7 linked regions of the Macaca mulatta genome follow. The protein of the gene in region 6 purifies or fractionates together with the protein of the main gene of each other region. This does not show direct contact. Links are inferred from orthologs where the notes say so. Each region holds a gene or a part of one and is shown on either strand. Other genes may lie near its edges. The genes, in order: YBX3, CNOT11, CNOT1, CNOT2, CNOT9, RC3H1 and NUFIP2.

Region 1 (3,500 bases), on a different chromosome or scaffold from region 6:
GTCTTCTGTGCAGGCAGGTTCTCAGCTTGCTGGAAAAATTTGTTGACATTTTCGTTTTGTAGTTGTTTCTTAAAGAATAACAGTAAACATTCCAATGTCCAAATCTTGCTTTGTCTTCCACTTTATTGCTTGAATGTTTCTTTGGTGTTGGTAAGGTTGTGGCCTGCTTTTTGCTTTATTTCTGAATGGTCACTAATTCTTTAGGTCACCTGGGAAAAATTAAAATCAAACTTACAAAGAATGACAAAGTAATCATGAGTAAAAGAATAAAAAGGCAGAAATTATCTGCTTTTCATATAATTAGAAAAAGAGTACTTCAAATGCTCTAAATACAAACACATCTTGTATAGATCTGTAAGCAATATGTTAATTAAATGGAAACTCTCGCTTTTTAATAAAGTATTTTTATAAACCAGAAGTCAGTACATAATAGCAAAAATTTTATAAAATTGTATAAATTAAAATTACCATTACTAATGAACAATACTCAAAATCATTTTAGTGGCTGCACCCTATCTCCTAATATGAAAATACCACAATTAGTTAGCTACTTACCAAATGTCAGACAGACTAAATTGTAAAAATATTTTTTCCTAATATTTAAAATTATTTCCTTAGAAACAATACCTAGAAATAATGTTACTCCATAAAAGGTTATGATCATTTTTATGATTAATATGCTACTCTAAATCAGTTAATTCCAAGTTTGAATAGGGAACTTATTTCTGTGACAGACTGTCCATGCTACCCAAGATAAAACAGAATATTGCCCTCATAGCAAATGCCTACCTAATCAAAGGCTGATTAAAATCCCACATCATTGGATATAAAAGCAGATGGCCTTAAGACACAAGAACTTATAATAATCCCAAAACTTCATTTATGAAATGTTAACAATTTTTGAAAAACAGCATTGACACCGAGTTTACAACCTCTCTCTTAACTAAAAGCTAATGGAAAGGGTGATAACCAAGAAGTATAAGAACTAAAGTCTCAGTTAAAAGGGTTATAGGAGGGAAAAAAAAAAGCCCAGAACTTATAATTGAGTTGATCTTTCTAGCTACAATCCTTTCTATGTAAATAAAATGTCCAAGATCTTTAAAAGACAGAAAAAAGTAGAAAATGACAAGAAAATAACAAGCTATCCTTTTATGAGAGGTTATTCTTTACCATACCCTATTGTAAACACTTCCTGTTATTTCACTTAATAATCCCTGCAACAACCCTAGTAAATATAATTAGTATCCTAATTCTTACCAGTAGCAGACAGTACTGAGACAGAGGATAAACTGCTCAAGATCACCCAGCAAATGAGAGGTGCAGTAGAGCCTGCATTGGATAGAAAAACCTTGGCTCTTATACATTATGCTGCACCGCCTCAAAATAAATAAAGTTGATTATCAAACGAAAAGGGAAGGAAAAAAAACCTTTAGTTTATTCTACTGTTTCTGATTACTTAACAGGTTCTGAAACTGTTTCTGATTACTAAAACCAGGCCTTTGTTAGCAACTTTCAGCATCAGTTTTCCTAAGTGGTACTGGCAGTTAAAAAACTGCCTGTCTAGAAAAAAGAAGTTGAGTATCATCAACTCCGTCTGAATGCTTATACCCTCACCAAAGCTTATCAAAATGAGGTCAATCCCAGAAATATTTAACCACCAAATCACTCTTGCCACAGAATCCCAACAGAGACAAAGAGTTGGCACAGATGAACTGCAGAACTAGTTTAGACTAATTTGTACTCTTGTTGAGAAACCAGTAATACTAAACAGAAAATACCAACTCAAGACTGGGCTGCCCCAGCGCTTACCCTGCCGATGGTGAAGGTGCCTGGGGAGCCTGGTGTTACTCAGCACTGCTCTGCTGGGTGGGTGGAGCGGGGTTCTCAGTTGGTGCTTCACCTGCCTTGGCCTAAAATGCAAAACAAAGCCATAAATCAGATAAAGTCACATGACAGTGGAAAGTTCAAGACTGAAAGTTCTTCAAAGTTTGAATTTTCCTGTAAAGGAAAATTAGCATGCAAAAAATTACTCTTATGTATGAGTCACAAATTAGTACCATATTCAGTCCCTGGCATTTCTACCAAAACAAAACAAAACCAAAACCCCACAAAAACAAAAAACAAAACAAAATTAGTACCATAGAAGAACAGCTTACAAACGGCAAACTAAATACCGCTACTCTCCATGAAGTCTGTGACATACAACTGCTTTCAACTCGTGTTTAGAGGCAGCTTCCTCTCGATTAATGCCTCTCTTATTTGAAGAGCCCTAAATGTATGAGCTCTGAATCCCCATTAGTATGGGTCATTCTTTCAGAGAATGTTAACTGGATTCAAATATTTGGTCTGTGTTATGTGCAAGGCACACCCTATATATACAGATCTTGAGCAAAATGTTTTTGTATTTGTTAAGTGTCAAGTTATCATGTGATAAAACCACTCTTAGAATGCTAGTTTGACATGATTAAAGACAATCCACCCTGACTGGTTGGATTGACCTCTTTGCCATCTTGTGAAGGAGCGTTAGGAAGACGCGGGCGACGCCGGTAATTGTAGGGACGCCGGTATCCACGGCGAATTGACGGCTGGTTTGGACCACTGGAGGCTTGCTGATTTTCTTTATCTTCAGCCTCTCCAACTGCTGGGGCAGGTCGTGGGCGAGGAGGTCCTCTGCTGGAGGGAACACAGGACAAAAGAGAACAAGTGCCAATAGAACAAAATAGAACAAGTGCCAATGGGACAGGGCTTCTCCAGAAAATAATGTTTTATTTATTTTTAAAAATTAAGAAGTCAAGTGATCAGGACCAGGCGTGGTGGCTCACCCCTGTAATCCCAGTACTTTAGGAGGTTGAGGCAGGCGGATCACTTGAGGTCAGGAGTTTGAGACCAGCCTGGCCAACGTGGTGAAACCCCATCTCTGCTAAAAATATAAAAATTAGCCAGGTGTGGTGGCATGTGCCTATAATCCCAGCTACTTGGGAGGCTGAGGCAAGAGAATTGCTTGAATCCATGAAGCAGAGGTTGCAGCAACCAGAGACTGTGGCACTGCACTGGAGCCTCGGCAACAGACGGAGACTCCATCTCAAAAAAACAAAATAAACAAAACAAACAAACAAAAAAAGTCAAGTGATCAGTACTTATTGCTAGAATTATTCACAGGCCAGTGCAGCAAAAGGAATCGAGGTTTCATGAAATAAAAAAAAAAAACAAAACAAACAAAAAAACACATTTTCCATCATTTTCCCCTTTCATTTGAATACCTATTTGCAGTGCACATACACATACTGAACACATACTCTGTTCCTATCAGACCCTTTGATAAGCACTAAGAATAGGAAAATTAAAAAAGAGAAGAAGAGTAGTCTGGCATCTGCCTTCCATGAACAGAATTTAGTAGAGACTAAGGGAATTAAACATGAAAAGAAACAATATTATGTGTCAGAGTCTGTGCTAGTCGGTTTTCAAATTAAATATTTAATTTGAATGGTAATTCTGTGGAT
Region 2 (4,271 bases), on a different chromosome or scaffold from region 6:
GGTAGAGATGGGGTTTCATCATGTTGGCCAGGCTGGTTTTGAACTCCTGGCCTCAAGTGATCTGCCTGCCTCGGCCTCCCGAAGTGCTAGGATTGCAGGCATGAGCCACCGCACACGGCTTTACACCCAGTTCTTTAGTAATACCTGGCAGAGTCACTCCTGCCCTCGCACCTGCATCCCTAATCAATATCCAGCAAAAGTATCACTCCTTCCGAGAATCTCTCTGGCTCCATGGGTGGTCCTTCCTTCCTCTGTACTACCCAGCATTACACAATCGCAGTCCTGCCTCAGTTCAGAGTCATCTGAAAAGCATTCTGAAGACATACCCACTAAATGTCTTACCCTAAACAGAAAACAGCAGCAGCTCTGGGAGTGGGGTGTTGGCACTGATATTTTTCTATGTTACCTACACACCATCCCTACCTACTTTAATAATGGTAATAATAGTGGGTAACACTCACAGGTACTTTTATTCTTTGTAACAACTCTACCAGCTGGCAATTGTTACTATTTGCATTTTACAGATGAGGAATCTGAGGCACAAAACGGTTAAATATAATCCATCCATGGATTCTTTCTCTGGCAACTGCCATCCCACCCATGGCAAATCTGTGTGTACAATGCAGTCTACGGACTAGGTGTGGGTTTAGATTCACTGTATATGAGAATGACATTAATAAGTCACAGTTCCCTTGCCTCACTTGTTCTTCAGAATTCAAAGGGCCCTCTGACCTAAATCCCATAGTGTCCCAATCCTCTAATACCAGCACCCCAGGGTGGTGGTTGTCTCTTTGTGTGTGTGTGTGTGTGTGTTTAGAAGCAGGGTCTCGCTGTCACCCTAACTCACTGCAGCCTCAAACTCCTAGGCTGAAGTGATCCTTCTGCCTCAAACTCCTGAGCAGCTGGGACTACAGGTGTGAGCCACCCATGCCCAACAATTTTTATTTTTTATTTTTTGTAGACAGGGTCTTACTATGTTGCCCAGCATGGTTTCAAACTCCTGGCCTCAAGCAATTCCCAACCCCCAACCTCCACCACTTCGGCCTCCAGAAGCGCTGATATTATAGGCGTGAGCCACCTCGCCAGGCCTAGGTGGTGGGTTTTGACCACAAACCTGTGTTACATTCACTTTCTGGGCAGTCACAAGCTTCTTAAAAGCAGGTTAAGTACCTGTACCCTAACGGCATCTCAGCCAATACAAAAGGTTGCCCTTCTTAGATAAGGGCACTACAGGACACCAATCAGAGATCCTGACGGGGTGCCAGGCAGGAACGCTAACTAGAAATGCGGCCCTCCTGTACCATAAAAACAAACTCCTGGTGTCACCTCAAAATCTGCTGCCTTAGCCTTGACTCACTGTATAGCAGGCCCTACCTGTGCTGGTTAAGGAATGTAAGATCAAGCTGTTACCTATCTCTAGCTATGTGCTTCCTCCACTACACTGGTCCCTAAATCCTTCAGGTCCCTTGTCACCACGCCATTTTTGTTTTCTGACTGCAAGTCTTCTCCCAAAGCAAATCCACATAAAGCATCCCCTGTTTGAGCTTAAAAACAAAAAAATGTAGCCTCGCATCCAACCTACTAGTTTGATCTCACCAATGCCACACAATGGTAAATATATTTTACATAATTTATACCATGAATGCACTTTACATAATGTCCAGTAAGTCATGCGTTTCCAATCGCGAGATCATCAATTTGAGACTTTCTATCCTCTGCCCCCATCCCTAACAGGCTAAGGCAGGCGGCTGCAAAGTCTTTAATGGTGTTTCACGTGTATTTCCGCCCACAACTTCTTCAGCTTCTTAGTACTGACTTCTACGTACTCCTTTGAGACTAAAAACCGGGGACAGATCTAGTCTTATCGTTGGTTTTAACTTCACACACCACAGACGGGCTTTCGAAGAACGAACCGTATTTGAGACACTAAACATGTCAAGACCTACACTGAGCTCTATGATGTGATGGGGTGTATAGAGAAATTATTTTCGGTGTCACGAACTTGCAATTAAGCTACCACCTCTCCATTCTTTAGAGTTAAGGCGGGGAGGGAGTGAGGGGCGTGGGAACGCAAAGGGAGGCGGAAAAAGAGGATTATCAGTTCACACGGATAGTTAATTTCCCTTTCAGGTGAGCTCCCAGCAGCGCGGGTGGAAAGCTGCGGAATCTAACGCATTCCACACGGCACAGCTGGCTTCAGCAGGTACCTGAGAGCGGAGGGCGGTCGGGCTCCTGACCGCCGCGGGCGGGCGGCGCGGGGTTGAGCAGGTGCGCGAAGCTGGCGGCGAAGGGGTTTGCGGCCAGCGGCTCGGTGCGGTACATCTCCCAGAGCAGGTAGAGCGCCGTGAGACGCTGCGCCGCGCTGGGCAGCAGGTCCGGCTGCTGGAGCAGCATGACGAGCACCGAACCCAGGCGGAAGTGGTCGGCCTTGCTGAAGTAGTGATGGAAGGCGGTGGACAGGCCCTCGAAGGTGCTGCCGCCGCCCGCCTCCTCCGATATGATGCTGAGCAGGCTCGAGAGTTCCTTCGGGGTCAAGCTCATCCTGCCTGCGGGGCCCCCAGGGCCTCCGCTCCCGGACCCGGGGCCGCTTGCTCCGCCTCTGCCGCCGCCGGAGCCCCCGAAGCCGCTCCTGGACGCCGACCCTGCCGCTTCCCGGGACACTCTTTGCTCCGCGGCGGTGAGAAGCCGGCAAGACGCCGCGCTCGCCCCTCCGCCGGGCATCAACCTCGCTCCCCTTCCCCTCTTCCCGGCCCGAGGGGCCCTGGCGCCGGCTCGCTCCGTCCCCGCGGCCGTAAAGCGCGCTGTTACACGACAGCGTCGCAAACAAAACACGTCGGGGAAACCAGACCGCCGCGGAAAGGGACAGCGCCCAGCGAAAGCGAGGCTGATGGAGCGAAGCCAGGAAGAGGATGCGGAGACGCGGGGTAGGCGGGGCGAATTGGCAGGAAGCGGGGGCGGGGCCCGGGAAGGGAGGCGCGGTGAGAGGTCGGGCTGGCGGCCTTCAGGGCTAGGTCGGCTGAGGTTCCCCGGCAGGAGCGCCCGGGGCCCGCGTGCGTCGGCGCAACTGCAAGCGAAAGCCGCACCTTGGCGGTCCCTAGGACAGTGCCTGGTGCCAGACGGTCCCAGTAAATGCTATCTACGTTATTACTTGCAAAAACGCACCTCGGATGTTAACTATTTTCTTAACATAACATCCATAAGTATTCGTCGTAAAAATATTGTAAAGGCCGGCGGGGCGCGGTGGCGCGTGCCTGTAGTCCCAGCGCTTTGAGTGTCCTAGGCGAGAGGGTCGCTGGAGCCTGGGAGTCCCAGGCTGCAGTGAGCTGTCATCACCACTGCACTCCAGTCTGGGCGCTCTGTCTCAAACATTTTTTTTAATATAGTAAATGAAAAAGATGCCACGCATTTCTCGTAACCACGGTTAATTTCTAGTCTTACACTCTTTTATTGCAGAAATGGAATCGTACTGCGCTATGAGCTTTTTTGTACATGGTTTTTTCCCTCTTAACACGATTTCAAGAACATGTCTCCAGTTAATATTCATGTACAAAATTGTTTGCTGTGCCACGTTTTCCTTAGACTGCCCTAGGGTGCTTATCCTGGGCACTTAGCGGTGCATTAGAAACCCACGGGGAGGCGTTGCAAATACCTGGTCCCACCCCCAGAGATGAGTCAGGTATTAATAAACCCCGCCTCTTCAGGTGAGGCTGAGGTGTAGTCTGGGCTGAGAACCACCAGGTGGCATTTCCCAGACTTGCCCGTCCCTAAACCTACAGAAACGTGCATGTATTTCACCAGTGATTACCACCAGCGATTCTTAATTATCTAGTTAAGCGCCATCTCAATTCTTTTTTAAAACGTATTTTTATTTTATGTGTTTTTGGGGAGAAATTTTATTTTTTTTTTCATCTTTTTAAAACTTGTATTTCAGTAGTTTTGGGGGTACAGGTGGTTTTTGGTTACATGGATAAGTTTTGAGTAGTGATTTCCGAGATTTTCGTGCACCCGTCACCAGAGCAGTGTACACTGTACCTGTCAGGCCTTTGAGCCCAACCCTTCACATATACATCCAGATGGCCTGAAGTAACTGAAGAATCACAAAAGAAGTGAAAATGGCCGGTTCCTGCCTTAACTGATGACATTACCTTGTGAAATCCCTTCTCCTGGCTCAGAAGCTCCCCCACTGAGCACCTTATGGCCCCCACCCCTGCTGGCCAGAGAACAACCCGCTTTGACTGTAATTTTCCACTACTTTTATTGCTCACACAGCT
Region 3 (3,500 bases), on a different chromosome or scaffold from region 6:
TACGCCATTCTCCTACCTCAGCCTCCCGAGTAGCTGGGACTACAGGCGCCCGCCAACCCGCCCGGCTAGTTTTTTTTGCTTTTTTTGCTTTTTTTTTTTTTTTTGAGACGGAGTCTCGCTCTGCCGCCCAGGCTGGAGTACAGTGGCCGGATCTCGGCTCACTGCAAGCTCCGCCTCCCGGGTTCACGCCATTCTCCTGCCTCAGCCTCCCGAGTAGCTGGGACTACAGGCGCCCGCCACCTTGCCCGGCTAGTTTTTTGTATTTTTTAGTAGAGACGGGGTTTCACCGTGTTAACCAGGATGGTCTCGATCTCCTGACCTCGTGATCCACCCGTCTCGGCCTCCCAAAGTGCTGGGATTACAGGCTTGAGCCACCGTTTTTTGCATTTTTTAGTAGAGACGGGGTTTCGCCATGTTAGCCAGGATGGTCTCGATCTCCTGACCTTGTGATCCGCCCGTCTCGGCCTCCCAAAGTGCTGGGATTACAGGCTTGAGCCACCGCGCCCGGCCAGGCTAATTATTTTCTAAATGGCTTGATTTATTTGTCCAGTGTATTCTCATGGCTAGATTCAGATAATGCATTTTAAAAAATAGGAATAGCTCAGAAGTAATGCTGTATTCTTATTCTGTCCTATCAGGCTTTGACAGCTGGACTGAGTACTATACTTTTCATGGTTTGAAACACTTTCTTAGGATGTAGAGGGCTTAGTAGATGGTGCAAGTGGTGCTGCCCTCAGTCTGTCCCATTATTACTAATGCTCTCTTTTATCACTTGATTATGCTGCTGTCTGCCAGGTTTTCCTCTCTCAAATGAAACACCTCTTCCTTTGTGCCACCTTGTACTGCCCCACTTGATAGTATTAATTCTGAATAGCTCAGGAAGAAGGAAAAGAAGAGGCCCTCCATGTTTGAATGTAAAAATAAGAAAAAGGGAGTAAACATACTAATAGACCTCTATTTGATACATGTGTCAATAAAAAACCTTAACATTCTTTTGTCTCTTGTTGGTTGTTTCCTTCTCTAAAACAGCAAGCTTGGGCAACAGATGATGTAGCTCAGATTTATGATAAGTGTATTACAGAACTGGAACAGCATCTACATGCCATCCCACCAACTTTGGCCATGAACCCTCAAGCTCAGGCTCTTCGAAGTCTCTTGGAGGTTGTAGTTTTATCTCGAAACTCTCGGGATGCCATAGCTGCTCTTGGATTGCTCCAAAAGGTTGGTTCTTAAGCTATTACTTTTAGAAAATGCTAGGTGTGTAAACATTTATTGACCTCCGCCACCATCTACATATTTATACAGTTAAGCTTAAGATTTCATAATATAAATCAAGTTCTATAAGTAGGTGATTTTTTTTTCCCAATGTAGAATGTAGTCATAGAAGTTTTGAATGGTAAAATTGGAAATCTTTATTTTTTTCTTAAAGATATTCCTGAGATATGATTTGAAGAAACTTTAAAAGCCCTTCAGTTGTGTGTATGTGTGTGTGTGTGTGTGTGTTTAAGAGACAGGGTCTCTCTCTGTCACCCAGGCTTGAGTGCAGTGACGTGATCATGGACTCAAGTGAGCCTCCCACTTTACTGTCTCGAGTAGCTGGGATTACAGGTGCGCACTGCCAAGCCAAGTTAATTTTTAATTTTTTTTGTAGAGACGGGTCTTGCTTTGTTGCCCAGGTTGTTCTCAATCTCCTGGGCTCAAGTGGCCTTCCCTCCTGAGCCTCCCAAAGCATTGGCATTATAGGCATGAGCCACTGAGCCCAGCTGCCCTTTAGATTTTGAGGGACAAGTTGATCCAAGAATTTGGATCAGGGTAGGTAGGGAGCCCTGGGTTTTAACTACAGCAAAGCCTTTTATGACAATGAAGAGCACAGAATGAACTTAAACCAGATAGAATTTAGAGTGTGTGTGATAGGCAACTGAAGGGGATGTTTGGAGAGTGGAAAGGACAGGGAGGCTTTGGAAGGTATTTGGTACTTGGCATTGAGATTTGGTTTCTGGCTATGATAGTTGGGCCAAGCACCATATTTTCCATGGGTCTGAACACTTTCTTTCTCCTATAGGCTGTAGAGGGCTTACTAGATGCCACAAGTGGTGCTGATGCTGACCTGCTGCTGCGCTACAGGGAATGCCACCTCTTGGTACTAAAAGCTCTGCAGGATGGCCGGGCATATGGGTCCCCATGGTGCAACAAACAGATCACAAGGTCAGTAGCCATCTTCGAAAAGTAGTGAGTATTGGATCGCGACTGCCTTTTGACATAGATAGTACTGTTTATGTCCAGGGGTTTCCCTTTTTTCTAGTAGGTAGATGGGACACTTGGACTTCCTACTTCTGAGAGGTGAGAATTGTTAAGTAGTTGTTTTCCATCTGGTCTCTACCTTCTCCCCATGTTGGATATAGAAAACTAGTACCTTATTTTGGGCAATAAATTGTAGGTCATTGTTTTAAAAGGTTTCAGTGATTTCTCAGAAGTGGTATTCATGTATAAGTATTTTAATGTCTTAAATGGAATCCTCTGTATCCTAGGTTTTGAAAGCAAAGCCTGGGCTATCTGTTCTATTTCATTACTGGCTGTTTTTCAATTTGGACACTGATTTACAGTTGAATCTCAAGGCATTCTTAATTTGGAGCACATTTCCATTGAGTACAATGGGCACATACAGTATGGTTAAGCCTATATGAGTAAAGATACTGAATTTTTTCTAGGTGCCTAATTGAATGTCGGGATGAATATAAATATAATGTGGAGGCTGTGGAGCTGCTAATTCGTAATCATTTGGTTAATATGCAGCAGTATGATCTTCACCTAGCGCAGGTATGGAAGGAATTTACTTGCAAGGACAAAAGGACTCAGGGAAGTATGTTTGCTCTTTTTTTTTTTTTTTTTTTTTTTTTGAGACGGAGTCTTGCTGTGTCTCCCAGGCTGGAGTGCAGTGGCCTGATCTCGGCTCACTGCAAGCTCCATCTCCTGGGTTCACGCCATTCTCCCGCCTCAGCCTCCCAAGTAGCTGGGACTACAGGCGCCCGCCACCACGCCCTGCTAGTTTTTTGTATTTTTAGTAGAGACGGGGTTTCACCATGTTAGCCAGGATAGTCTCGATCTCCTGACCTCGTGATCCACCCGCCTCGGCCTCCCAAAGTGCTGGGATTACAGGCTTGAGCCACCGCGCCCGGCCGTATGTTTGCTCTTAAGTGTTTTCCCTCTTACGTTGTGTTTTCTGTGTTGCCAGTCAATGGAGAATGGCTTAAACTACATGGCTGTGGCATTCGCTATGCAATTGGTAAAAATCCTGCTGGTGGATGAAAGGAGTGTTGCTCATGTTACTGAGGCAGATCTGTTCCACACCATTGAAACCCTCATGAGGATTAACGCTCATTCCAGAGGCAATGCTCCAGAAGGGTGAGGATTAAACACTTTGAGATCCCTGTGCATTTAGTAGTCTCCTAATATCTTTAGGGATGAATGTGCAGACTTACTAACATTACTTGTTAAAACTG
Region 4 (3,500 bases), on a different chromosome or scaffold from region 6:
ATATGGCAAATTTAAATTCCATCTTGGAGGACCTAAAGATATGTATTAAAAGTTAATATATATTCAAAATGTATAATTAACTTATAATCAAAGAATTTGAGAAATTATAAATTGAAGCAGGATAGAAATTCTTAATTTCTATTGTCTTAATGATAATTTTTTAATTCGAAGTTCTTAAACTGCAGAAATAAATTTATAAACTGCAGTTTTTGTAAACAGCAGGTATGAATGATTTATCCTTTACCCTTGTAATTTGAAATTGTCACCTGTCTTTGAATGTTAATAAATTAATGGTGTCTGTTGGTTTTCTGTCAACGAAGTAATCTTGAGATAACATTTGCTGTTTGAGATTCTTACAATTGTGAAATTTGGAGAAAACTAAAAATTAATTGGGAAATGGCAAAATAAACTGAAAATGGTGAAACAAAAATTAAAGAAAAGCTATAGCGCAGGCTAAAAGAAAGGTAGAAAGTTTTCTTCAAAAATTAAGAACACAAGGTTATAAGAATACTAAAAAGTTAAGAAATTGAGATGATTAAAATAGACAAAGTAGAGAAGTTGGGTTAAATTTTAATTTTTAAAGGAAGCCAGCTGATTGTTTTAACTTAAAATGAACAAAAATACATTTAATTTATTCTATATATATTTATTGAGCGCCTACTGTGTAATAGGTAATATAAACTTCTGGGCTTTGTATCATATTTCTATATTTCCAACCCATTTACCATATATGGGAACCCTACTGCTACCCTTTTGTACCGCACCCGTGTGCACACACATTTGTATATGAACGCAGTCAATTACAGGTGGAAGTCCTCAGGGCTTCTGCGTCACTGCCTGTGTCTCAGCTATCTTTCTGGCCATTTGCAGGAGGCACTATCATTGTCACCATTTGTGTGTAACCGAAGCTTCAAGCATTCTAGATACAACCTCCATCTGAGCATAATGAAAAGACCAGTTATATCATAACAGTCTCCCTCTTGTTAGCTCACACGCTATAATTTTAGGTTACCATCTTCCACGGGGGAAATATATGCTTTTTCTTCTCTTTGTTATATCTCTAGGATTTGAGGTTTTTTATTATGCTGGTTGCGTATTGCTTTGCTAAATTGTTCATGAAATTCTTTGACATGAAATCAATCTGCAAGTATCTTTTGAGCAGCTACATACACCTTGTACAGTGCTGTGCATTATTTAGGAAGAAAGCACAATCATTTCTAATTATATTATAGTTGGTTTTTATAGTCTCTTAAAAATATTTGTAGAATCAGTAACCAGTGTTCGTTCTTATTATTTAGACGGAAGTGAAAATGTGACAGGATTGGACCTTTCAGATTTCCCAGCATTAGCAGACCGAAACAGAAGGGAAGGAAGTGGTAACCCAACTCCATTAATAAACCCCTTGGCTGGAAGAGCTCCTTATGGTAATTAAGCTTTTTAATGATGACCAGTGGGAAGTTTCCATTGTATGTGCACACACACATGCATTTACATGTACATATACATATGTTTGTGTATACGTATATGTTTGCATTTTCTAATCAGGTTAGTGTAATTTTTTCAGAATTGATATATTAAAAGTGATTTTTCTTCCCAGAATACCATGGTAGCAAAGTTAAATGGGAAAACTTTGTACAAAAACCCAAGAGGAAGTCCTCATTGGTATTCAGAAGTTATTTTCTTCTGTTATCCCTGCCTTAGTTTACCTTAGGTGATTTATTTTTGTGGTCTGCCTTTTCTCTCCTTAATTGATCACACATTTTTTCAAAAGAATATATTCCTGGTGATTAATAATGACTGACTATACATTGAAGATGTTTTTCTGAGCCAAGGTTTCTCAACCTCCACACTGTTGACATTTGGGCCAGGTAATTCTTTGTAGAGAGGAGATCTGGGGGGCTGTGGTGTTTATATAGAATGCTAAGCAACATTCCTGGCCTTGGCCTACAAGATGCCAGTAGCACTCTCTGTTTCCAACCCCCACAGCCTCTATTGTGACAGACACAAATGTTTTCAGACATTGGCAGATGTCACCTGGGGAAAAAAAATTGTCCCCTGTTGAAAACCATTGCTCATGGGTCATGTATAGCTTATGCAGACTCTTGGTCTCCATTAATATCCTTCATCACCCTTTTTCACTGTCTGTAATAGATAAGAGATTTGGCTAATCAGGGATAAACAGAAATAAAGGAGGGGAAACATATGCAATAACAGTGTAACAATTTGGGCATGAAAATTCTGTGACAGCAATGTGGCTATACTGTTTTTATCACATAGTTTTTTTCTTTTGGGAAAACCTGATAGAGACCAGTAACAAAACGGTGAATTTAAAAGAATCAGTTCATCCATTATTTTAAGATAGAATTAATATTTGATCACATTTTCAACCAAGAAAGATTTCTGTGCCATTCAGATATGAATACAAATAACAGTATATGAAGAAGGGAAAAATGTATTGTTTATATTCTAAAGTTTCCAAATTAGTCTCCCCAAAATTAAAAGAAAAAATGATCTGCCCTGGAAGTTGAGTACCTAGCTACTTGATTCTCAGTTCAGACTCTAATGTTTTTAACCTTTCCTCATAGGTCCATTTTTTCATCCCTTTAATCATTCCCGTTGCTCTCCTTGGACCATCTCTAGTTTCTCCATATCGTTCTTGAATTGTGGAGCCCCAAACTGGATATTGTTCTCCAATAAGGGCCCGACTAATGCCAAGTATAGTGGGAGGATTATTTCCCAGTTCTTGCATGTTTTACATCTATAACATGGAGTCCAAGAAAATCTGAAATAATATGGAGTTGTTTTATAATTGATTGCAATTTGCTCACTCTGTAAGTCGCTTTCAAGTAGAATACTGACATATTCTTTTAAATTTTATTTTGTTCATTTGTATTTGACAGTTAACTGGTATTTATATCTAGTCAAATATTTAAATAAAACAAGCTTTTAAACCAAAATTGTTAATAATTAATCCAATATCAAATTAAATTTTTAAGCACCTACTACGCATGACAGTAGATGTACAGGATTACTATTGATTTCCCTTGTATTATTTTGTATGTTGAGTTATTAATCAGTAAATGAAAATTTAGTTCTTCATTGTTACCCTGGATACTAATTTTTTGAAGTACGCTTTCATAGCATTAAAAAAAAGAAAACTTTTGGTGTATTATCATGAGGAAAGTTAACTTTATAATCTCTAGCAAAATATCATAAGTATCAATTGCAATTCTCCGGATTATTTTCATTACATAGTTGGAATGGTAACAAAACCAGCAAATGAACAATCCCAGGACTTCTCAATACACAATGAAGATTTTCCAGCATTACCAGGCTCCAGCTATAAAGATCCAACATCAAGTAATGATGACAGTAAATCTGTAAGTAACTGAGAACTATGTGAGTGAGTGATGTAGTTTTTCCCTTCAGATTTCTCTTATATTAACAGTTACTTACTAAATACTGTTACAAAACTGTTTTATCTTGATATCTGTAATAAT
Region 5 (3,500 bases), on a different chromosome or scaffold from region 6:
GACTAGGGTTTTCAACTTTTGCACCATTAACATTTGGGGCTGGATGAATCTTTGTGGTGGGAAGGAGAGGGCAGGAGAGGACTGTCCTGTGCATTGTAGGATGTTTAATGGCATCTCTGGCCTCTGCCCACTGGATGCCAACAGTGCTCTATAATCCTGAGTTGTGACAATCAAAAATGTCTTCAGACATTGCCACATGGGGGGAAAATTTACCCCATTTGAGAACCATTGATTGAAACTAATGACCAGTAACATTGTTTCCTAAGGATTCCTTGCTCTGACAATGTTAAGGCCTTACAGAATTAACCACCTAGAAATTTGAAAGTTCAGGATCCTTAGAAATCAACCCTGGGCTGTGAATGTAATTATTGTTTTCTTCCAGGTCAGCGTTTCTCGCAGCACACATCCCACTTTTTTTGTACCCCTTTTTGCACACTGTCAGCAAAACACGTCCCTTTGAGTATCTTCGGCTCACCAGCCTTGGAGTTATTGGTAAGTTATTAGAATTGTTTTGCAAGCCTGAAATACTCACAGTAGTAGTCTAAGTTGGGTGTTTTGTCTTGCCGCTCATGATTTTTGTACACCAGTCATTCATTTTTCTCTTTGACATTGTCTCATTCACTAATCAGTAAGTATCAGGAACATGATGACTCCTATCAGGCACACTTCTAAGTGTTGTTAATAAGGCTTTGAGATCTAACCTTTGGTATTAAATTCAGCATATATGTAGAAACATTTGCTGGAATTGCAGGGAGAGTAAAGCATAAGAACTCGATTCAGTATATAAAGAGTATTATTAAAGGAATAAGAGTTTACATTTGGGACTTGACCTCACCCTCGCCCTCACCCTCGCCCTCGCCCTCACCCTCGCCCTCGCCCTCTCCCTCTCCTGTCCTCTCTTCCTGATAGGGTCTTGCTGTGTTACCCAGGCTGGACTTGAACTCCTAGGCTCAAGTGATCCTCCTGCCTCAGCCTCCCAAGTAATAGGGACCATGGGCACAGGCACACACCCCTGTCTTTTTTTGTTTGTTTTTCTTACTTCTAATACCAGAATGCTTCGTATATCTGAAACGCCCTAAGAATGTGCATGTCAAATACACTAAGCATTCTGAAAACCTGTAATTCTCCCATAACTCCAGGAATATGAATCTGTCAGTTCACCTAGTTAAATTTTTTCATGCTCAAGTTAATGTATAAATACATTTACTGTGGGGGTATGGATAAAATACTTTTTACTTAAAATAATATATCAGCAATTTCAGATCTCAGACTCTTCAGACATTAAAAGGAAAGTAAGGGAATACTGCTTACAACTCCATACTCATAAATTTCACAACTTAGATGAAATGAAAACATTCTTTGAAAGATGCTATTTGCCAAATTGCACTCAAGAAAAAACAGGTAAGCTGAATAGTTTTATATCTATGAAATACATTGTTTTTGTAGTTGCAAACCTTCTAACATAAAAATGGCTCACCTGTCTTCACTAGTAAATTTTACCAAATACATAAAGAAGAAATAAACCAATTCTACAAAACTTTTCCAGAACATAGAAAGGAGGGAACATTTCTCAACTCTTTGTGAGACCAGCATTAGACTGTTAATAAAACCAGACAAGCTGAGTCTTTGGGGAAAAGTCAGTAAAATTGATAAAGCTCTAACCAGACTGACTGAGAAAACATTTATATCCTTAACCCTAACTTATATCATCCTACTTAGATGATACATTTATGAGTTAAGGATATAAATGTTTTCTTTAGGCTCGGATTACGTTGAGTATATGAGACAATTGTTACTCCTTACATGCCAAAGTTTTAAATTGTATTTCCTGATTGTGGTTTATAATTTTAAGAAAAAAGCATTGAGAAAGGAAGAAAACAAAACAAAAAAAATGCTTGAATGGATTAACATTTCATAAGCCCAGAGATAGTTCTTTGCTACCCAGGAGTCTGAGAGCTGAAATAGCTGATACATTATTTTCTTAAGTAAAAAATGTTTACCCTTATCTCCCGTAGTAAATGTATATAAAAACATTAACTTGAGCATGAAAAAATTTTAGTTAATGTTGAAAAACTGAATACTTTTTTCCTAAGATCAAGTACAAAGCAAGGATGTTCATTCTCACTACTCCCATTTAATAAAGAGCCTTCAAATTAGAAAGAAAAAACAGTACTAGCTACTCACAGACAATATTATTTCATAGACAATCCCAAATAATCTACAAAAAAACTACTAAAACTAAAGCTAGTAAGTTTAGCAAGGTTGCAGGATACAAAGTCAGCATATAAAAAATCAATCAAGTCCGGGCATGGTGGCTCATACCTGTAATCCCAGCATTTCAGGAGGCCGAGGCGGGTAGATCACTTGAGGTCAGGAGTTCAAGACCAGCCTGGCCCACATGGTGAAACCCCATCTCTACTGAAAAAGAATTTAAAAAGGCAAAAATTAGCCGGGCATGGTGGCATGTGCCTATAGTCCCAGCTGCTGGGGAGGCTGAGGCAGGAGAATTGCTTGAACCTGGGAGGTAGAGATGCAGTGATTGCAGTGAGCCAAGACTGCGCCACTGCGCTCCAGCCTGGGTGGCAGTGGGAGACTCTGTCTCAAAAATAAAAATTAAAATTAAATTTCTATATACTAGCAATGAACAATAGGAAATTGATTTTTTTTTTTTTTTTTTGAGACAAGGTCTTGCTCTGTCACCCCCTTTTTTTTTTTTTTTTTTTTTTTTTTTTTTTTTTTGAGATGGAGTCTCGCTCTGTCGCCCCAGCTGGAGTGCAGTGGCCAGATCTCAGCTCACTGCAAGCTCCGCCTCCCGGGTTTAAGCCATTCTCCTGCCTCAGCCTCCAGAGTAGCTGGGACTACAGGCGCCCGCCACCACACCCGGCTAGTTTTTGTGTGTTTTTTTTTTTTTTAGTAGAGACGGGGTTTCACCGTGTTAGCTAGGATGGTCTTGATCTCCTGACCTCGTGATCCACCCGTCTCGGCCTCCCAAAGTGCTGGGATTACAGGCTTGAGCCACCGCGCCCGGCCTCACTTTTGAGTGCAGTGGCATGATCATGGCTCACTGCACCCTCAAACTCCTGGAATCACACAAATCCTCCCACCTCAGCCTTGAGAAACTGGGACCATAGGCACATGGCACCACACCTGGCTACATTTTCTTATTTTTTTGTAGAGACAAGGTCTCACTTTGTTGCCCAGGCTTGTCTCAAACTTCTGGGCTCAAATGGTTCTCCTGCCTTGGCCTCCCAAAGTGCTGGGATTACAGTTGTGAGCCATTGCACCCAGCTGAAATTTTTTTAAACTACCATTTATAACAGCACCAAAACGTGAAAATTTGGGTATAAATCTTTTAAAATATATTCATGATCTATAACTGAAAACTACAAAACTGATTTCTAATGAAATAAAATGCAGAGATAAACCATGTTCATTGATTGGTGTATCAGTGATTCAGTATTGTTAAGTTGTTCGTTCTCCACAAAGTGATCTATAGATTC
Region 6 (4,251 bases):
GGGGGAAGAAATTACATTATCTAGGTTGCTTGTAATGGAAGTTGAGTTACTTGCTTCACCTAAACAAGGAAGTTGGCATGTTTGCCTAGCAACAGTCGCTAAAACCTTCTGTTGTGGAAGGTTCCCTAGGAGTGAGAAGAAGGGAGGAGGAGGAAAAGCAGGAGGAGCAGATTAATCTGTTTTTCCTAGCAGGGTACAGAGGCCTGGTTTGAGGAGGGAAAGGCTTTAAGAGATCCCTTTAGATTGGCACATGCTAACCTAAATCCCCCTATGGTAGCTAGAAATTCACTCTCTGTAGGACTAGGGTTACTATTTAGTAGGCTGAAAAGACGATTACAGATTAAACCCAGTTCAAAGGCAGCAAATTCCAATCAATAGAAAGACATCAATAGGTCTTCTAAACAGAAGCTGAGATTTCAGGAGCAGGAGGGTGTTAACAACTAAAAAGAATTCTTCTCTGCCAAGAGTTTAGGAAGGTGTGTGATATTTCTTTAAAATAATACAAAAATACTATCTGTGATAGCGATTCCAATGTATCAAGTTAAAGGCAGAAGTGCTTCTCTTGGGGTACTGTGATGTAAACAGTGAAGAAAGGACAGAAAAACATAATCTCTGCTCTCTTGGTCAAGTCCTGAAGCAAAAAAGGTGATGCTGCCGAGTAGAGAGTATTAAATGGTTGTTTATTTGGGGACTCTCTCTCTCTCTCTTCTCTTCTAGATGATTTATTTTGAAATCAGTACTGTATGGTGTTACGATAATCCCATTTCTTCCCCCTCTCAAAAGCTAAAGAGGGTTTGGCTAAAATGAATTGTCTGAAGGGACCTCTCATTCCCCAAAACCAAAACGGCACCTTTTCCACAAGGGACAAGAAACTTTTAAAGAGTAGCAAGGTTAGATTTCAGGAGCTCTTCGACGAGCCACATCTTTTCCTGTCGTCCCCAAATAGCTCTTATTGTTCACACAGCCCAGGAGAGACGTTTTGGAGTAGCGTGTCCGGGCCTTTGGGCTGTTTCACAGCCTTAGGAGGCTGAACTCCAAGAGGGGTGACGAGGACAAAGCTGATGAGATCCAGAACCTAGATAATATGGAAGAAGACAAATGGGGTGGGGGACAAGACGTGAAAAAGAAACCAGAGTTGGGGGACAACGGCTGAGAAAGCCAAAAGAGTAGACGTATTGCGGGGTTCGATGGAAACGACAGAAATTCCTCCAATTTACTCTCGCCATCTGGCCACTGGCCCGCTGAGCCCAAAGGCGCCGGTGCGGGAGGGCAGGCCGGACGGAGGGACCGGTTCCTCGGCTCAGGGAGTGTGAGACTTTGGGTCGCGGCGGAGAGCGTCGCCGGCCTCCCTCCCGGGCGTTGGTGGCCGGTGACTCAGAGCTTTGCTCCCGCGCCCGCCCCGCCCCTCCGCCCGCCCCGCCTTCTGAGGGAGGATCCTCGCCCTCGTCTCCGCCCCAGTCTCCGGGGCGGGCCGGAGCCTGAGGAAGAGGAAGGGGACGAGGACAACGAGCGACTGGGCGGCGGAGGACGAGGAGGAGGAAGAGGAGGCAGACCAACAAGATGGCCCCTGCTGCAGGAGCAGCCTCAGCAGCAGCAGGTGGGAGGCCGGAGGCGGTGCTGGCGGTGGCGGCGGCAGCCGTGGCCCGGCGGCCTGGGACAGAATCAGAGTCAACGGTGGCAGCGGCGGCGGCGGCGGCTGCCGCGGCGGTGGCGACGGCCGCGGGGACTCGGAGCTGAGAGGAGCTGCTGCTCGGACCAGCGCGGTGAGCGAGCGGCGGGCGGCGACTTGGGGAGCGGGGCTGCCGCGGCCGGGGCCTCCGTCGGGAACAATAGGCAGCTGTGGTCGGGAAGGATTTGTCCTCGCCCGCCCTCTGCTCCCCGCCGCAGCGGCCGCCCGGCCGGCCCCAGGCTCCTCAGGGCCCCCGCCGGCTGCTCTGGGGCTTGTCAGTGGCCGGCGTCCTTTAGGCCTCAGGCCTCTGCATGCCGCCTGGAGGGCCTGTAGGGGTAGGTAGGCCGAGAGGAGGGCGAAGGGAGGCTTGGACTAGAGGGAGGGGGCGAAAGGGCTGCCTGGCTCCTCTGGTGCTGCCAGGGCCTGGGCCAGTCGGGGAGTGCGCACGGGAACTGCTTTTTGGACCCCTCCTCTGTGGGGGTGGGGGAGGGCGAAGGCGTCTGTAAACAGGCGCCGCCTCTGACTCCCAGCACCTTAGGGCTGCTCCCTCCCCCAGCCCCTGAAGCGCTCCCCCTCTTTGGCCAAGCGGGGTTCACGGTGTCTGTTTCCCTGAAGCCCCTGGAGACCTAGCCTGTGGTCTTCTCCCTCCTGGCGGTGGGAAAATTGTGTGTGTGCAGGTGTCTTAAAAAAAAAAAAACTGAAATGCAACAAAAACATACAAAATATGGTTATCGATAAAGGATGGAATGGTAAGGGATGCGCCTCTCTAAACATCTCTAAGCATCAGTTCTGTAAACATCAGTTATGCCCGCGCCCCAGTTGAAAGTGAATTGAAACAAGAGCTCTTTTGGAACAGTAATAATACTACTCTTGACATATCAGAATAGCCCATGAAACTGGAGACAAACACTTAACTTTCAACGCGGAGACAAATTGTAATGTTTAAAGAGAACTTTTATTCCAGCTAGGCGTTTTAAATTACTAACATGCAGTATAAGAAGCAACATTAACTAGCGTAAAGTGGACCTCAGGAAGCACTTCTAAAGGAGACACAGAGGTGGTTCATCTCCAGCCATAGAGCTTCTTGTGCCTTGTCTCCTGTTTCAGTAATTTGTCCCTAAATTGTTCAAGACCAGTCTTTTCTCTGAGTTAGAAATTTGATTTCATTTTTGTTTGTTCTTGTTTTGTTTTGTTTTGTTTTTGAGACGGAGTCTTGCCTTGTCACCCAGGCTGGAGTGTGTGGCGCAATCTCGGCTCACTGCAGCCTCCATCTCCCGGATTCAAGCGATTCCCCTGCCTCACCCTCCGGAGTAGGTGGGATTACAGGCGCCCGCCACCACGCCTGGCTGATTTTTGTATTTTTAGTAGAGACGGGGTTTTCACCATGTTGGCCGGGCTGGTCTGGAACTCCTGACCTCAAGTCATCTGCCCGCCTCAGCCTCCTAAATTGCTGGGATTACAGGCCTGAGCCTTAAACTTAATTTTTCAAGGCTTCTACCACATTTTCTTACAAGTGAGGGAAAAGGTAGATTTAAGTTATTTCTAAAGTACTTTCTACCTAGGTATGCAGAAATTTATATTAAAATTGCTTGGATACATCCAAGGAAATTGCTTTTCACTTGTTAACATTCAACTGTAAGGCCTAAGGGTTATAGGTTGTGTTCTTAAGGAAGACTGACCTGTGCTGAAAAGATGCCAGTTAATGTCTTTCACCTCTTTTAAGGGTACATTTCTAAGTAGAATTGGTCTAAGTCTGTTATAATTAAAAACATTTTCAGGTTACATGAAGTCTAGTAAGCAGCACTAGTCTACCTCTTAGTTCTTCCACAACAATTGATACTGAATAGACTAGCAATTGAATAAACATAGAGGTTGAATTATCTTGGTTAGGATTTGAAGTATAGTGAGTGAATATCAATACTGACTTTCATTTTATGCCTAGCATAAATAATGTTGGAGATGTTTTGATTTTTTGAGTGACGGAGAAAGAACAACTTTCTGTGGCTCCTGATGTTGTGACTTTTTTGCAAACATTTCAGAAAAGACACCGTTTTTCAGATGCTCAGATCTGTGATTTTTTTTTTCTGTGCTAAATTTTGTTAGGTCAGCACAGATTCCAAGTCCATGTTATAATGATAGTTAAATTTATGTTTGGCCCTAAACCTATTAGAACAATTGTAGTAATTGATAGCTTGTAAGTTTTAAGTGGTTCATGTACTGTGTTATGAAAAAAAATCTCACCGTGTTATGTCAAGGGCAGATTTACCTCATATTTATTATCATTTTCCTGAAAATAAGTATTTTTAAGTGGTAAGGTTTTGTATTTGAGATTGGTTATTGACCCAGCAATTTATGGGCTTAGTCTGGGTCCTTATTTGTTTAATAGGAAAAAATTTAGGGAATTGTTTTTATTCATTTTATGTCAAAACAGTTTTAAGATGTGATCCCTCAATTGTCCCGTCTTCAGTGTCAATACTTATTACTTAAGTTCAGATTTTCTCAAGTAATAAAAATTTACTTCTAAGAAGTTTTGGGACCAGAGCTTAAGAATTAGATTTATATTTTCTTAGTAATATTAAAAA
Region 7 (3,500 bases), on a different chromosome or scaffold from region 6:
AAAGAAAATTTTATAACAGCCTTGTGAGAGTGATGGGTAGATTGATTTTGTTAGATGAGAGGTATTTGGCATACTGCTTAAGAGGTCTTTTTTTCTGGCCTCAGACTTTGCTTTGAATTTTGGCTCAGTTCTACCTCTTGCTTTGCTTAGCAGTAGATTGCATTTCCTAGTCTGTGAAATGGGGCTGACAAGTGTCTTCTCATACAGATGTGAAATAATATAAAGCTACAGTTCATAGCATAGTGTCTAGCATACAGTAAATAAACATTTCTTAAATGTTAGGTATTAGTGTAATTTACATGTTGTGATTTTTTTTTTTTTAATAAACCGTTTTTTTCCCTCCCCTAGGCTATGGTGAACTAAACGGTAATGCTGGAGAAAGAGAAATCTCTTTAAAGAACCTGAGTTCTGATGAAGCCACCAACCCTATTTCCAGGGTCCTCAATGGCAACCAGCAAATTGTAGACACTAGCCTGAAGCAGACTGTAAAGGCCAACACCTTTGGGAAAGCAGGAATTAAAACCAAGAATTACATTCAGAAAAACAGTATGGACAAAAAGAATGGAAAGTCTTATGAAAATAAATCTGGAGAGAACCAGTCTGTAGATAAGTCTGATACTATACCAATTCCAAATGGTGTGGTAACAAATAATTCTGGCTATATTACTAATGGTTATATGGGTAAAGGAGCAGATAATGATGGTAGTGGATCTGAGAGTGGATATACAACTCCTAAAAAAAGGAAAGCTAGGCGCAATAGTGCTAAGGGTTGTGAAAACCTTAATATAGTACAGGACAAAATAATGCAACAAGAGACCACTGTCCCAACCTTAAAACAGGGACTTGAAACTTTCAAGCCTGACTATAGTGAACAAAAGGGAAATCGAGTAGATGGTTCGAAGCCCATTTGGAAGTATGAAACTGGGCCTGGAGGAACAAGTCGAGGAAAACCTGCTGTGGGTGATATGCTTCGGAAAAGCTCAGATAGTAAACCTGGTGTGAGCAGCAAAAAGTTTGATGATCGGCCCAAAGGAAAGCATGCTTCAGCTGTTGCCTCCAAAGAGGACTCATGGACCCTATTTAAACCACCCCCAGTTTTTCCAGTGGACAATAGCAGTGCTAAAATAGTTCCTAAAATAAGTTATGCAAGCAAAGTTAAGGAAAACCTCAACAAAACTATACAAAACTCTTCTGTGTCACCAACTTCATCTTCATCATCATCATCATCTACTGGGGAAACTCAGACCCAATCATCAAGTCGCTTGTCCCAGGTCCCTATGTCAGCGCTGAAATCTGTTACTTCTGCCAACTTTTCTAATGGGCCTGTTTTAGCAGGAACTGATGCAAATGTTTATCCTCCAGGGGGTCAGCCACTGCTAACTACTGCTGCTAATACTCTAACACCCGTCTCTTCTGGGACAGATTCAGTTCTCCAGGACATGAGTCTAACTTCAGCAGCTGTTGAACAAATTAAGACTAGCCTTTTTATCTATCCTTCAAATATGCAAACTATGCTGTTGAGCACAGCACAAGTGGATCTGCCCTCTCAGACAGATCAGCAAAACCTGGGGGATATCTTCCAGAATCAGTGGGGTTTATCATTTATAAATGAGCCCAGTGCTGGCCCTGAGACTGTTATTGGGAAGTCATCAGAGCATAAAGTGATGGAGGTGACATTTCAAGGAGAATATCCTGCCACTTTGGTTTCACAGGGTGCTGAAATAATTCCCTCAGGAACTGAGCATCCTGTGTTTCCCAAGGCTTATGAGCTGGAGAAACGGACTAGTCCTCAAGTTCTGGGTAGCATTCTAAAATCTGGGACTACTAGTGAGAGTGGAGCCTTATCCTTGGAACCCAGTCATATAGGTGACCTGCAGAAAGCAGACACCAGTAGTCAAGGTGCTTTAGTGTTTCTCTCAAAGGACTACGAGATAGAAAATCAAAATCCTCTGGCCTCTCCTACGAACACTTTGTTAGGCTCTGCCAAAGAACAGAGATACCAGAGAGGCCTAGAAAGGAATGATAGCTGGGGTTCATTTGACCTGAGGGCTGCTATTGTATATCACACTAAAGGTAACTCATTTGTTTCCTATGCAAAGATTTTTATTGGCCAATTTAGTATATTAAGAATTTTAAGAGAATTAGTTGTTCATATTAAGAGTATTTTAAGAGAATGACAATGTGGATAAGCAACTAACATCAAACTGATTCAGGGTCTTTGGAACTAGTATGATTAAAACTTAGAAGAAATGTTCACTTTTCCAACTTAAAATGGTTTTTAAAAATACAAACATAATTGATCTACCTGGTTCAAAGAAGTGAGGAGAACTTGCTTAAAGGTGTTGATGTTATATTTTCTTTTGACCGAGTGCTTTAAAAAAAATTTTATTGAACATATGTTCTCTTTCCTTTGCTTTTTTGTTTCTCCTTTGCTTTTTGTTTGTTTTTTCTTTGAGAGGGAGTCTCACTCTGTTGCCAGGCTGGAGTGCAGTGGTGTAATCCCGGCTCACTGCAACCTCCACCTCCCAGGTTCAAGCGATTCTCCTTCCTCAGCCTCCTGAGTCGCTGAGATTACAGGCACGTGCCACCACGCCCGGCTAGTTTTTGTATTTTTAGTAGAGATGGGGTTTCACCGTGTTGGCAGGATGGTCTCAATCTCTTGACCTTGTGATCCACCTGCCTTGGCCTCCCAAAGTGCTGGGATTACAGGTGTGAGCCACCGCGCCCAGCTTCTTGTTTGTTTTTGAGACGGAGTCTCTCTTGCCCAGGCTGGAGTGCAGTGGTGGGATCTTGGCTCACCGCAGCCTCTGCCTCCTGGGTTCAAGTGATTTTCCTGCCTCAGCCTCCCGAGTAGCTGGGATTACAGCCATGTGCCACCATGCCCAGCTTATTTTTGTATTTTTAGGAGAGACTGGTTTCACCATGGTGGCCAGGCTGGTCTCAAACTCCTGACCTCGTGATCTGCCTCCCTCTGCTTCCCAAAGTGCTGGGATTACAGGTGTGAGCCACTGCGCCCAGCTTCTCCTTTGCTTTTTGTATCATATGCTTCTTTATTAGTGAGCTCATTTAGTAGTTCTAATTTGCTTAAAATGAGTAGAAGCACTATTTTTGAAGAGGAGTCTGATAAGTCTTAAAAGGAGTAATGGATGCCAATTTGTAACTAGAAAATAAGTTAGACAAATTACAATGTCAAGCATGATAAGCATAATCAAGACCAGGCTCTTGGGAGTCTCCTTTCTATAGCCCCAAAGCCCAAGTTTAAAGGGAACGAGATATCTTTCAAGTTTCACGCTAGTAACTCTCTTTCTTTTCTTTTTTTTTTTTTTTTTTGAGATGGAGTCTCGCTCTTGTCTCCCAGGCTGGAGTTCGGTGGCGTGATCTTGACTCACTGCAACCTCTGCCTCCCGGGTTCAAGCGATTCTCCTGCCTCAGCCTCGCACATAGCTGGGATTACAGGCGCCCACCATCACGCCTGGCTAATTTTTGTATTTTTAGTACAC

What was found.
Region 1: the proteins of RC3H1 (region 6) and YBX3 purify together in Homo sapiens (affinity purification with mass spectrometry, with the first as the bait; 3 studies listed by BioGRID). This does not show direct contact. The link is inferred for Macaca mulatta from reciprocal best matches to the Homo sapiens genes RC3H1 and YBX3.
Region 2: the proteins of RC3H1 (region 6) and CNOT11 purify together in Homo sapiens (affinity purification with mass spectrometry, with the first as the bait; 4 studies listed by BioGRID). This does not show direct contact. The link is inferred for Macaca mulatta from reciprocal best matches to the Homo sapiens genes RC3H1 and CNOT11.
Region 3: the proteins of RC3H1 (region 6) and CNOT1 purify together in Homo sapiens (affinity purification with mass spectrometry; 5 studies listed by BioGRID, with this or other methods). This does not show direct contact. The link is inferred for Macaca mulatta from reciprocal best matches to the Homo sapiens genes RC3H1 and CNOT1.
Region 4: the proteins of RC3H1 (region 6) and CNOT2 purify together in Homo sapiens (affinity purification with mass spectrometry, with the first as the bait; 3 studies listed by BioGRID). This does not show direct contact. The link is inferred for Macaca mulatta from reciprocal best matches to the Homo sapiens genes RC3H1 and CNOT2.
Region 5: the proteins of RC3H1 (region 6) and CNOT9 purify together in Homo sapiens (affinity purification with mass spectrometry, with the first as the bait; 4 studies listed by BioGRID). This does not show direct contact. The link is inferred for Macaca mulatta from reciprocal best matches to the Homo sapiens genes RC3H1 and CNOT9.
Region 7: the proteins of RC3H1 (region 6) and NUFIP2 purify together in Homo sapiens (affinity purification with mass spectrometry; 3 studies listed by BioGRID, with this or other methods). This does not show direct contact. The link is inferred for Macaca mulatta from reciprocal best matches to the Homo sapiens genes RC3H1 and NUFIP2.

Annotation. Positions count from the first base shown.
Region 1 is NC_133416.1:9,905,425-9,908,924, reverse strand, and holds part of YBX3 (Y-box-binding protein 3), read right to left. Parts: intron 2,674-3,500; coding exon 2,499-2,673; intron 1,911-2,498; coding exon 1,845-1,910; 3' UTR 1,810-1,844; intron 210-1,809; 3' UTR 1-209. UniProt on the Homo sapiens protein: Binds to the GM-CSF promoter. Seems to act as a repressor. Also binds to full-length mRNA and to short RNA sequences containing the consensus site 5'-UCCAUCA-3'. May have a role in translation repression.
Region 2 is NC_133418.1:9,406,742-9,411,012, reverse strand, and holds the start of CNOT11 (CCR4-NOT transcription complex subunit 11), read right to left. Parts: upstream 2,801-4,271; 5' UTR 2,722-2,800; coding exon 2,208-2,721; intron 1-2,207. UniProt on the Homo sapiens protein: Component of the CCR4-NOT complex which is one of the major cellular mRNA deadenylases and is linked to various cellular processes including bulk mRNA degradation, miRNA-mediated repression, translational repression during translational initiation and general transcription regulation.
Region 3 is NC_133425.1:54,150,435-54,153,934, reverse strand, and holds part of CNOT1 (CCR4-NOT transcription complex subunit 1), read left to right. Parts: intron 1-1,029; coding exon 1,030-1,221; intron 1,222-2,062; coding exon 2,063-2,205; intron 2,206-2,708; coding exon 2,709-2,817; intron 2,818-3,232; coding exon 3,233-3,402; intron 3,403-3,500.
Region 4 is NC_133416.1:77,411,588-77,415,087, forward strand, and holds part of CNOT2 (CCR4-NOT transcription complex subunit 2), read left to right. Parts: intron 1-1,298; coding exon 1,299-1,424; intron 1,425-3,255; coding exon 3,256-3,380; intron 3,381-3,500. UniProt on the Homo sapiens protein: Component of the CCR4-NOT complex which is one of the major cellular mRNA deadenylases and is linked to various cellular processes including bulk mRNA degradation, miRNA-mediated repression, translational repression during translational initiation and general transcription regulation.
Region 5 is NC_133417.1:123,823,905-123,827,404, forward strand, and holds part of CNOT9 (CCR4-NOT transcription complex subunit 9), read left to right. Parts: intron 1-382; coding exon 383-492; intron 493-3,500. UniProt on the Homo sapiens protein: Component of the CCR4-NOT complex which is one of the major cellular mRNA deadenylases and is linked to various cellular processes including bulk mRNA degradation, miRNA-mediated repression, translational repression during translational initiation and general transcription regulation.
Region 6 is NC_133406.1:31,511,238-31,515,488, reverse strand, and holds the start of RC3H1 (roquin-1), read left to right. Parts: upstream 1-1,451; 5' UTR 1,452-1,763; intron 1,764-4,251. UniProt on the Homo sapiens protein: Post-transcriptional repressor of mRNAs containing a conserved stem loop motif, called constitutive decay element (CDE), which is often located in the 3'-UTR, as in HMGXB3, ICOS, IER3, NFKBID, NFKBIZ, PPP1R10, TNF, TNFRSF4 and in many more mRNAs.
Region 7 is NC_133421.1:38,007,612-38,011,111, reverse strand, and holds part of NUFIP2 (FMR1-interacting protein NUFIP2), read left to right. Parts: intron 1-348; coding exon 349-2,073; exon of another isoform or gene 2,074-2,753; intron 2,754-3,500. UniProt on the Homo sapiens protein: Binds RNA.